3 linked regions of the Rattus norvegicus genome follow. Each later gene encodes a partner of the first gene's protein in a complex. Links are inferred from orthologs where the notes say so. Each region holds a gene or a part of one and is shown in the gene's direction. Other genes may lie near its edges. The genes, in order: Xab2, Prpf19 and Ppie.

Region 1 (2,655 bases):
TGTGTCTGTAGAGCTTAGGAGCGACCTCGTCCGTGAGGTATCAGACTGCAGAAAGTCCCTGCTCCCCTGCCTTAGGTCCTTGTTGTTGGCAGAGGGAACCAGTGACTGACATACTTACATGTGCCATGATGGAGGGCTGGGCAAAGAAGGGGTCCTGGGCAAGCTCATGGAGACATGAGCCAAGGCATCTGGATGCTAACCCATGGCTTCCTTGGAAACAGGCATATGAGCGTGGCATCTCGCTGTTCAAGTGGCCCAATGTTTCCGACATCTGGAGCACCTACCTGACCAAATTCATCTCCCGCTACGGGGGCCGCAAGCTGGAGCGTGCACGGGATCTCTTTGAGCAGGCACTAGATGGCTGCCCACCAAAATATGCCAAGAGTGAGGAGGCTGCGGGCTGTCCTGGGACATGGGGACATCATAAGAAGGGATGAGCAGCACGGTTGAGCTCTGCACTGCTAACTGGACCCTTGTATCATGGGCAGCTTTATACCTGCTTTACGCACAGCTGGAGGAGGAGTGGGGCCTTGCCCGCCATGCCATGGCTGTGTATGACCGTGCTACCAGGGCAGTGGAGCCAGCCCAGCAGTACGACATGTTTAACATCTACATCAAGCGGGCTGCTGAGATCTACGGTGTCACCCACACTCGCGGCATCTACCAGAAGGCCATTGAGGTACCCACCACCAGTGACCTGGTATGGGGTTGGGGTCCATGCAGGCAGGAGGATCCCAGAAAGCCTGCCTGCATGGGATGAGTGGCAGAAGGCTGTCCTGAAGCCAGGTACTGGGACCCCTTTCCCTTAACCCTGCTCCCCCTGCCCCATGGTGCCAGGTGCTGTCTGATGAGCATGCCCGTGAGATGTGCCTGAGGTTTGCAGACATGGAGTGCAAGCTCGGCGAGATCGACCGTGCCCGGGCTATCTACAGCTTCTGCTCCCAGATCTGTGATCCCCGGGTAGGGTGTGCCCAGTGTCGCGGGGGGAGGGTGGGCAGTGGGGATGCTGTACCAAGCACCTGGCTCACTGATGTGCTGCATCCCACCACAGACAACTGGGGCATTCTGGCAAACGTGGAAGGACTTTGAGGTCCGGCACGGCAACGAGGACACCATCAGGGAGATGCTGAGGATACGGCGGAGTGTGCAGGCCACGTACAACACTCAGGTCAACTTCATGGCTTCGCAGATGCTCAAGGTGTCGGGCAGTGCCACGGGCACGGGTGAGCTTCTGTAGCCTTCCCTTCCTATGATGGCTAGGCCACGCGGAGCAGTGTGTCTGCCCTGTCCCGGAGCACTCACTGCCCGGCCTAGGCCTCCTAGCTCTGCCAGCATTTGGAACCAATCCTGAGAATGGCTGGGGCTGGTCTGATGTGCCTTGCAGAGGGCCTGTGGTCTGACGCTGACCTTCCCTCCCTGCCTGCCCCGCACCCCCAGTGTCTGACCTGGCTCCCGGGCAGAGCGGCATGGATGACATGAAGTTGCTGGAACAGAGAGCAGAACAGCTAGCGGCCGAGGCAGAGCGGGACCAGCCCCCCAGGGCCCAGAGCAAGATCTTCTTTGTGAGGTGAGGGCAGGAGCGGGGTGGACCAGTCCTTCTTAGGAAAGGGGTGTTCCAGAGAAGCTGCTGGAGGCAGGAGGGGTCCACTGAAGCAGCTGACAGCCACCACCTTCCCTCTCCAAACCCCAGGAGTGATGCATCCAGGGAGGAATTGGCAGAGCTGGCTCAGCAGGCCAACCCTGAGGAAATCCAGCTGGGCGAGGACGAGGACGAGGACGAGATGGACCTGGAACCCAATGGTCAGTGGCCAGCCCCAGGGCCAGGGTTAAAGCAGATGGGCCTCCCCATCCCACCCCCACCTTGACCTTACTTTCCCCCACAGAAGTCCGACTGGAACAGCAGAGTGTGCCAGCTGCTGTGTTCGGGAGCCTAAAGGAAGACTGAAGCCTCCACACTTTCCCCTCCATGGTCTCTCCCCCATAACTCTCCCTCTAATACAACCCCTCTTTGTACATCACTGTCTCAACCTTCCTGCCGCCTGCCCAGGTGCCTCAGGGCATGCTAGCTTAGAGCTGCCTGGATCTCTGCACTGATTGGCTGGGACAGGAGGTGGAGTAGTCAGGGGATGTGTCGTGTGGACAACCTGCCCTCACCCTGCAGAGCCAGTTCTGGACGCCGCAGGGCCAGTTCCCCAGCCCCACCCCAGGCCTCTTGTCAGGCCTGCCCTCCTTGAGCCCGAAACCAAGGGGCACCAGCCTCACTTACGTGGGAGTCACAGCTCTAGGACTTCACAGACCCATGTGCCTCCGTGTAGTAACAGGCCCCAGGAGCCTACTAGCAAGGTGCTTGTGTCTCTGGCTAAAGGCCAGACAACCAGGCCTGGTACACAGGCCACATCCAGGGTGGAGCCCTTACAGCTTAAGCTCTGGGAAGCCATTAGTGGCCTCTGGACCATTAAGGGGCTTTGGCATCAGGGGACATAATCAGATTTGTGTGTAGAGCCGGTCACACAGGCTGCCACGTGAGCAGGCGCAGTTGGAGACAGGCTGTTGGCTTGCACTGGGGGATGTTGGAGGGTGGCTCTAGCAGGTGAGTTCCATATGATTTGGCTATGTCTGGGAAGCAAGGCTGCAGTGAGCCTTACATCTGAACTC
Region 2 (3,651 bases), on another chromosome or scaffold:
TAATTTCCGGGCTCTCAACTCTCTGCAGGCCCTCTTACTGTCTTGAGATAGGACTTTGCTTTGTTAGACTAGTCTGAAACTTTGATCCTTTTGCCTCAGCCTTCTAGTGCTAGGATTATAAGTGCCAACCACCAGGCCTGACTCTTGGGGGTGATGAACACAGGGTTAATGTAATCCCTGTACCACTGAGCAGCCCCCCTCATTTTGTGCTGGCCTTATTTCATTTGTGAGGAACAGGATAGCAATACAAGAGGAGCCCGGTTGTTGGAACTCTTGCAGACCTAGATTCCAAAGTTTTCTCCACTGTCAGCCTTTGTGACTTAGGACACACTGCTCAGTCTCTAAGACTTGACTTCCTGACTACAGGACACTCATTAGTCTTGTCTATCTGGATTCTGTAAGTAGAATGCAGTTGACATATTTGCCTTGTGACACCAGGGACTCTTTCATTACTGGGCTCTGCATTTGCTGAGGATAGCCAGTAAATAATCACAGCAGTATAATTATTTCCTTTCAGAGAGGTGATGACATTAATGCCTGTGATTTGCTGGTGAATTGCAAAGGTTGGGGTGGGAAGGAGCTAATTCTTACTCTGTGTGTGTCCAGGGTGTGGTATGGGGTAGGAGCCTGAATGTCGTACAGGGCATTCAGGGTCACTCAGATGTTGGCTTGGGTCTCTGAGTAGCTCAGGTTGGTTTCAGTGTAGAATAGGAGGTGGTGTCCTCTTCTCTAGGGTTGGCCGAATTCTCCGGCTCTCCCCCAGTCCTCACAGTGGCCTACCCTCTCCCAGGATGCAGTCATGCTGCACAGCTTCACTCTTCGCCAGCAGCTGCAGACAACCCGCCAGGAACTGTCCCACGCTCTGTACCAGCACGATGCTGCCTGCCGAGTCATTGCCCGGCTCACCAAGGAGGTCACTGCTGCTCGAGAAGGTCTCTGGTGTTCCCTGCTGCTCCCCACCCTCTTCTGGCCCTGCTGCTGGCCCTGCTTTGTTATGTCCCATTTCTAACCTCATCTTTTCTCTCAGCTCTGGCTACTCTGAAACCACAGGCTGGTCTTATTGTACCTCAGGCTGTGCCAAGCTCACAGCCCAGTGTTGTGGTAAGTGTTCCCTTCCAGGCCCCAGTAGCTGTCCCTTACACAGACAGTTTTGGTATTGTGAGCCCCTCCTACTCTCCCTTTCTTTTCTACAGGGTGCAGGAGAGCCCATGGATTTGGGTGAGCTTGTGGGAATGACCCCTGAGATTATCCAGAAGGTAAGTTGTGTGTTCTTCTGATGGGACTGCAGTCTCTCCCTTAGTACTGTAGGCATTGGGGGCCTGTAAGACTCTCACAGTGGGCAATGAGAGGAGCCTGTACTGCCAATCAAGAGCTTTCTGATGACACTTACTTCAGTCTGGCTTCCTTTGTCTCATTTCCCTGGCTTCTGAATAGAATGAGGGGTGTGTGTTTCGTAGGCTTACTGTGGGAAAGATTTAATTACCTATGAGGGAAGTTTTTAGCTCTTGCAGTTTTTGCAGTCCTTGTTGATATTAAGTCATTTCGTTATAGATTTTGATCATTTTGCCTTAGGGCAAGAGTTATCTTTGTATTAAGATGAGGAGTCTGAGGTGGCAAGTCAGACAGCTGTGAAGAGGCAGAGCAGACTTCAGACTACAGCTAGGTTCTGTTGGATGTAGTCTTCATTTGTGGGTCAACGGAGTGAGCGCTCATCTGAGCTCTCATGTTTGTAGCCTAGACCTGCTCCCAGAGCACTACAACCTGGTTCCTGTCCCACCTGCTGTGGCAAGGGAGTTCTTTTGATGTTCAGTTTTCTCAGCTATACCATAAGGTTGTGGATACCTCACCTTATAAGATGGGGGTGGAGGTGTGTCAGCTTTTAGCCCACAGTTTGGCAGATGGCGTGTTTTGGTGATGTATCAGATGTGACTAGCACCCAGTGTGCTTTGTGTCACAAAATTATTTATGTTCTCCACAGCTTCAAGACAAGGCCACTGTACTAACCACGGAGCGTAAGAAGGTGAGTTGTTGCCTGCTGGGAACACCCACCTTCTTGGAGAAAGGGCTCGTTGAAGCCTGCTTTCATTGCTGCTCTTGGGGGCTTTTTGTTTTCTCAGAGAGGAAAAACTGTCCCTGAGGAGCTGGTGAAGCCTGAAGAGCTCAGCAAGTACCGGCAGGTGGCATCCCATGTGGTAAGTGGCTGAAGGTGGCCAGCCTGCGGAGTCATGAGAAATGCTACCTGGGTCCCTGGCAGAGTGTCTCACCTTGGCTGCTCTTCTGTCCTGCCATGCAGTGGGGGGAATTGGTACATCCAGGCAGCCAGCCAAGCTGGGTGGATAAGGAATAGAACTCACTCTTCTTTCCTGACTGGGGAGGAAAATGAGGGGTGTGGGGAAGGGGAGTGGAGGACCTGTATGGCTTGGATTTGGCTGTGACTGGGTTTCATGTGGCTCTGTCTGCAAAGGGGCTACACAGTGCTAGCATTCCTGGGATTCTTGCTCTGGACCTGTGTCCCTCAGACACCAACAAGATTCTTACTGGTGAGTCTAGGTCTGGCCTGACAGCCAAGATGAGGGATGGCAGGACCCAGGGAAGATATAACCCCCCTTGGTCCTTTGCATGGATTTAAGGACAGAAAGACCTTCTGTGGCCCAGGGATACTTTAAGGCCTGCCTCATTTTTGTCTTCTTTGTATCTTCTTCAGGTGGGGCAGATAAAAACGTTGTTGTCTTTGATAAGAGTACTGAGCAAATCCTGGCCACTCTCAAAGGCCATACCAAGAAGGTCACCAGTGTGGTGTTTCATCCTTCTCAGGTAAGACACTCTCGAAGTCACCCTTGTCTTATTTCTAAGTCCAGATCCAGTGGTTTTGAGGCTCAGAACTAATTGCCCAACCTCTAGTGTTTTGGTGAAACAGGCATTGATGTTCCCATGCTGACCCCCAAGACTGTTGAAAGTCGTGTGAGTTCTAATAGATGAGAACCCTTGATTTAGAGGATAAAAGTAGCTTATTAGATGAGATTAATGGTTTCATAGAATACAGTGGCTTTGGTATGCTGCTGCCTCAGGTACTTGAGCAGCCTCCCAGGTAGTCTTTCTCTTCATACGTTAGGAAACTTAGATGTAGGGCTGGAGCGACGGCTCAGCAGTTAAGAGCACTGACTGCTCTTCCAGAGGTCCTGAGTTCAATTCCCAGGAACCATATGGTGGCTCACAACCATCTGTAATGAAATCTGATGCCCTCTTTTTTTTTTTTTTTTTTTTAAAGGATTTATTTATTTATTATATATACATCATACAGCTTTCTGCCTGAATGTATTCCTGCAGGCCAGAAGAGGGCACCAGACCTGATTATAGATGGTTGTGAGCCACCATGTGGTTGCTGGGAATTGAACTCAGGACCTCTGGAAGAGCAGACAGTGCTCTTAACCTCTGAGCCACCTCTCCAGCCCTGATGCCCTCTTCTGGTGTGTCTGAAGACAGCTATAGTGTACTCATATATAATATTTAAAAAAAAGGAAACTGAGAAATAGAGGAATTTATGTTTGTCAGTGTTCTCTTGCTGTAAAGAGGCACCATGATCGTGGCAACTCCTATAAAAGAAAGCATTTAACTGGTGCTTGCTTACAGTTTTAGAGGGTCAGTCCATGA
Region 3 (3,651 bases), on another chromosome or scaffold:
GCCTCTCCATTTACTAGGGTACTTCCTGCTCATCCTCCTGGCTTGTCTTTCACTGGCCGCCCTACGTGATGGCAAGTGGCAAATACAGTCCCAACTGAATTGCTCACTGAAACAGCAAATATATGCAAAGGGGAAAGGTTTCGTGCAATGTTAGATCATTAGATAACAATTAGTTGTTATTATTATTATCAGTTAATTAGTTATTAGTTATTATTAGTTAACAATAGAGAGGGGAGATTCAGGAAGAGTTAACCAAAGGCCATACTATTGACTCGGAAGGAAACAGCTGGGAGAATCCTTGGAAATGCCGGCGCTCTTAAAGATGTGCGACCTAAGACACCTGTGCGTTGTTGTGTCAGATGAAATTCAGAGGCGTCACATCCTGTGTCTAGAACTTGGCTGGAAAAAAAATCTGTAAAACTATTCATCCCTGGTTACATGTTTCCATTAGAAATCTGGCATAACTGATTCTATTTTTTTTTCTTATTTTTTTCTACATAACTGATTCTAAATACTAAGAAATTTACACTTTCATGTTTTTCTGGTATCATCATAACATCCTAATAGAAGACCTTTTTTTTTTAGTTTTTGCCACAGAGTTTTCACTGCTGCCTTAAGGTTCACATTAAGTGGCCTTTCCTGGTGCTGATATCTTGGTGAAGTTCTTTATTCATTGTTCTCTGCTACCCAGTCTCCATGTATACTATTTCAAAGCCCATCTTGCTTTTAAAGGGGAACTCGGGGTCTACGTACCCTGTTGCTTGAGTCCCTTGAGCTCAGAATTACCTTAGTAGTGCAGATCTTTGGTGGTATTAAAGGTTTGCAGCAGCTCCAGGGAGGAAGTACCTTGTAATTTTCTTCCTTGATAATGTTGGTGGTGAGAACATAGTTTTCATTGCTAAGGGATCCAGGATTAAAAGGAAACACTAATCAGGTCTCAGGAGTAAATGAAAAGCTGCCAGAGTTGGTTTTTTGTTTATTTGAGGCAGGGTTTCTCTGTATAACACTGGCTGTCCTCAAACTCTAAACCAGGCTAGACTTGAACTCAGAGATTTACCTGCTTCAACCTCTGAGTGCAAGGATTACAGATGCCTGTCACCACCACCTGGTTGCTGCCAGAGTTTTGTAACCTGACAGTTTAAGCGACTGGATTTACACTCTTTCCAGAATGAATCTGAACTCTTTGGACGGACAATTCGTGTCAATTTGGCCAAGCCAATGAGAATTAAAGAGGGCTCTTCCAGGCCAGGTGAGTGGGGCACCTCAGAGTCCTTGTCAGGTCCTCTGGTTTGCCCTTCTTTGTGTGCATGTTCAGTGCTGGCTTCTGGTAGACAGGAGTGAGGACAAAAGGGTGGTTTACACTGTGGAGGGTGTATATTATGAGTGAACAGTGGCAAAGCCAGAGTAATTGGTCGTCTTCTGAGAGAACCCTGTCTGGTGTCCTCCAAGTTTTCTTGGTACTCCATTCCTAGAAGCTATATCTTTGACGTAGCTTTTTCCGTTAGTGCTGCTAAGAGCCTGTCCTCTAGGGATTCTCAGTGGGAACTTGGTCTTGAGGATTCTGCAGGGGAACTTCTCTGGGCTAGAGGACGACAAAGATGATCAAAGCAGCTGCCAGCAGTTGAGGAATAGTATGAATTTCTTAACTTTTGTGTGTCTTTTCCGTCTAGTTTGGTCAGATGATGACTGGTTGAAGAAGTTTTCTGGGAAGACTCTTGAGGAGAATAAAGAAGAAGAAGGACCTGAGCCTCCCAAAGCTGAAGCCCCAGAGGTGAGAGTGCAAGGGACGCTTCCCTCCTGAAGGCATTCTGTGCTCAGGTTGTGATGGGGGCTTGCAGACCGAGCATTTATCAAAGTGCGGTGGGCACGTGGTGCACTTAGAGCTCAGCGAAGGCGGTGCGGGGGGTGAAGGGGCGCAGCTTTGGGAGCTGTGTTTGTACTACTCCCCCGCACCCCACCAGGCAGCCCTCCTATGCTGAGGGCTTTAGCTCCTTGCTCTCTGTCTTGATTTTGGACTCCTGCAGAGGTAACAGGACAGGTAGTGTTGCTTCCCTTTATCTGTGTGTTCTGGGTTTGCCTATGCAGTGTGGCCCTGGCACATCTGGTTCTCAGCTCACCTCCCTGACCACTGCTGCAGGACTTCAGTTCCTCTGTGTACCCTGTGAGGTTTATAATGGCGTGTGGCTTTTCTGTCCTCTCTCAGATGACGTCACTCTTGCTGTCTGCAGCCCTCCTGTGCTGTACTGTCAGCTTCGATGGCCTCTGTTTCTAACATTGGACTTCAGTTTCCGGCTGCAAGTCTCATTGTGGTTTATTTTGCCTTGAGTGGATGCTCTCCCTTATCCTGCTCTCCTGTGCTCTTAATCTTGGTTACTATCTAGCCACACAGTTATCTAAGCCAGAATCTGTATGCGGACTTAAAGTAGCGCTCACAGTGGAGTTCCCCGGATCATCTGGTCCCTTCTTTACAGCAGTAGAACCAGTGCATCATCACGCTCGGGTGCTTTCTTGACAGCCTTCCTTGTTACGAATGTGATCTGGGTCTGACCTGGCCTTTTGTTTGGGTGATTTCAGTGGTTTGTGGCTACAGTCTTGGATCTTCCAGTCCTTTCCCAAGGAAGGTAGAATAATCTTTCTGGAGCACAGATCCAATCATTCACCCTCATGCTCCAAGCTTTTCACTCCCCTGCCATGTATCTCAGGGCATAAGGGCTTCCAGGTCCCTCTTGTCTATCTTTTCAATGTCATTCCGCTTCCCTGCCGTGTAGTCCCTACTCGGCACTCAGTGAAATATTGTGTTTCCATGCACAATGTTGCTTTTGCACAGGATACTCCAGTGCTGATTGCCCGTTTCTGGGTAATCTGTTTAATGAGCTAGGGCTCATTAAATCTATGTATATGTGTACAGTATATAGTAAATGTAATATATATCTAACTGCATAAACTTGAAGGAAGAAAGTAGCTTCAGGTCTTAACTCATCTCTTCCTTCAAGACCCAAGCAATACAGCAAGAGCTGCATTGTTGCTGCCGTGGTATTGCTAGTCCCAATGGAAACAGCAGTAGTTAGAGCATCGCATGATTCCTCGGTGTGCCTCAGCTGAGCCAAAACCAATGTGATGTTTGTTCCCTATCGGCTTTCCTCTGCTTTTGTCTCCCCTACTTAAATACAAGCAAGTCTCAGCCTCTTGTGCTTTGAGCATTTGGACGCCATCAGAAGGGCTTTCCCATGCTTCCAGGGTGGCCTGTGACAGTGACAATTAGGCATGTAAGAAAGCAGTACTGGGCTGCTGTAGTAAGGTAGATGACAACCTAGGCACTGACGATGAGGGGGTGAGTATTCTGACCCAGCGAGTTGCAGGACAAGGGAGGCGAGCAGGCATGTCTGAGGGGGATCGTGAAGAGATCTGCCATGGCTAGGGGTCCTGTTTTACAGTGCTGAGTGAGGTTTCCTGTCACTGGGTGTCTAGTTGGGTATTGTGACCATAGTTCCTGCCTCCTACAGCCCTGTCAGGGTCCAAGACCTTACTGTCAGCATCCATGTTCAGGCTGTTTGATGGCACTATGTTGTGATGATATGTTGGGAAGATTACTTGTGCACCTACTTAGGGAATTAGGCGTCCTCTAACTAGCATTTTATTTCTGCATCTAGG

What was found.
Region 2: Xab2 (region 1) and Prpf19 share a complex: the UniProt entries of both Homo sapiens proteins name them as parts of the XAB2 complex. The link is inferred for Rattus norvegicus from reciprocal best matches to the Homo sapiens genes XAB2 and PRPF19.
Region 3: Xab2 (region 1) and Ppie share a complex: the UniProt entries of both Homo sapiens proteins name them as parts of the XAB2 complex. The link is inferred for Rattus norvegicus from reciprocal best matches to the Homo sapiens genes XAB2 and PPIE.

The regions. Positions count from the first base shown.
Region 1 is NC_086030.1:6,464,929-6,467,583, reverse strand, and holds the end of Xab2 (pre-mRNA-splicing factor SYF1), read left to right. Parts: intron 1-221; coding exon 222-384; intron 385-488; coding exon 489-679; intron 680-837; coding exon 838-960; intron 961-1,051; coding exon 1,052-1,223; intron 1,224-1,437; coding exon 1,438-1,567; intron 1,568-1,690; coding exon 1,691-1,800; intron 1,801-1,883; coding exon 1,884-1,945; 3' UTR 1,946-2,014; downstream 2,015-2,655. UniProt on the Homo sapiens protein: Involved in pre-mRNA splicing as component of the spliceosome. Involved in transcription-coupled repair (TCR), transcription and pre-mRNA splicing.
Region 2 is NC_086019.1:216,969,504-216,973,154, forward strand, and holds part of Prpf19 (pre-mRNA-processing factor 19), read left to right. Parts: intron 1-733; coding exon of another isoform or gene 734-790; coding exon 791-932; intron 933-1,027; coding exon 1,028-1,101; intron 1,102-1,193; coding exon 1,194-1,256; intron 1,257-1,978; coding exon 1,979-2,020; intron 2,021-2,117; coding exon 2,118-2,192; intron 2,193-2,464; coding exon 2,465-2,540; intron 2,541-2,704; coding exon 2,705-2,814; intron 2,815-3,651. UniProt on the Homo sapiens protein: Ubiquitin-protein ligase which is a core component of several complexes mainly involved pre-mRNA splicing and DNA repair. Required for pre-mRNA splicing as component of the spliceosome.
Region 3 is NC_086023.1:140,697,756-140,701,406, reverse strand, and holds part of Ppie (peptidyl-prolyl cis-trans isomerase E), read left to right. Parts: intron 1-1,167; coding exon 1,168-1,249; intron 1,250-1,670; coding exon 1,671-1,771; intron 1,772-3,650; coding exon 3,651-3,651. UniProt on the Homo sapiens protein: Involved in pre-mRNA splicing as component of the spliceosome. Combines RNA-binding and PPIase activities.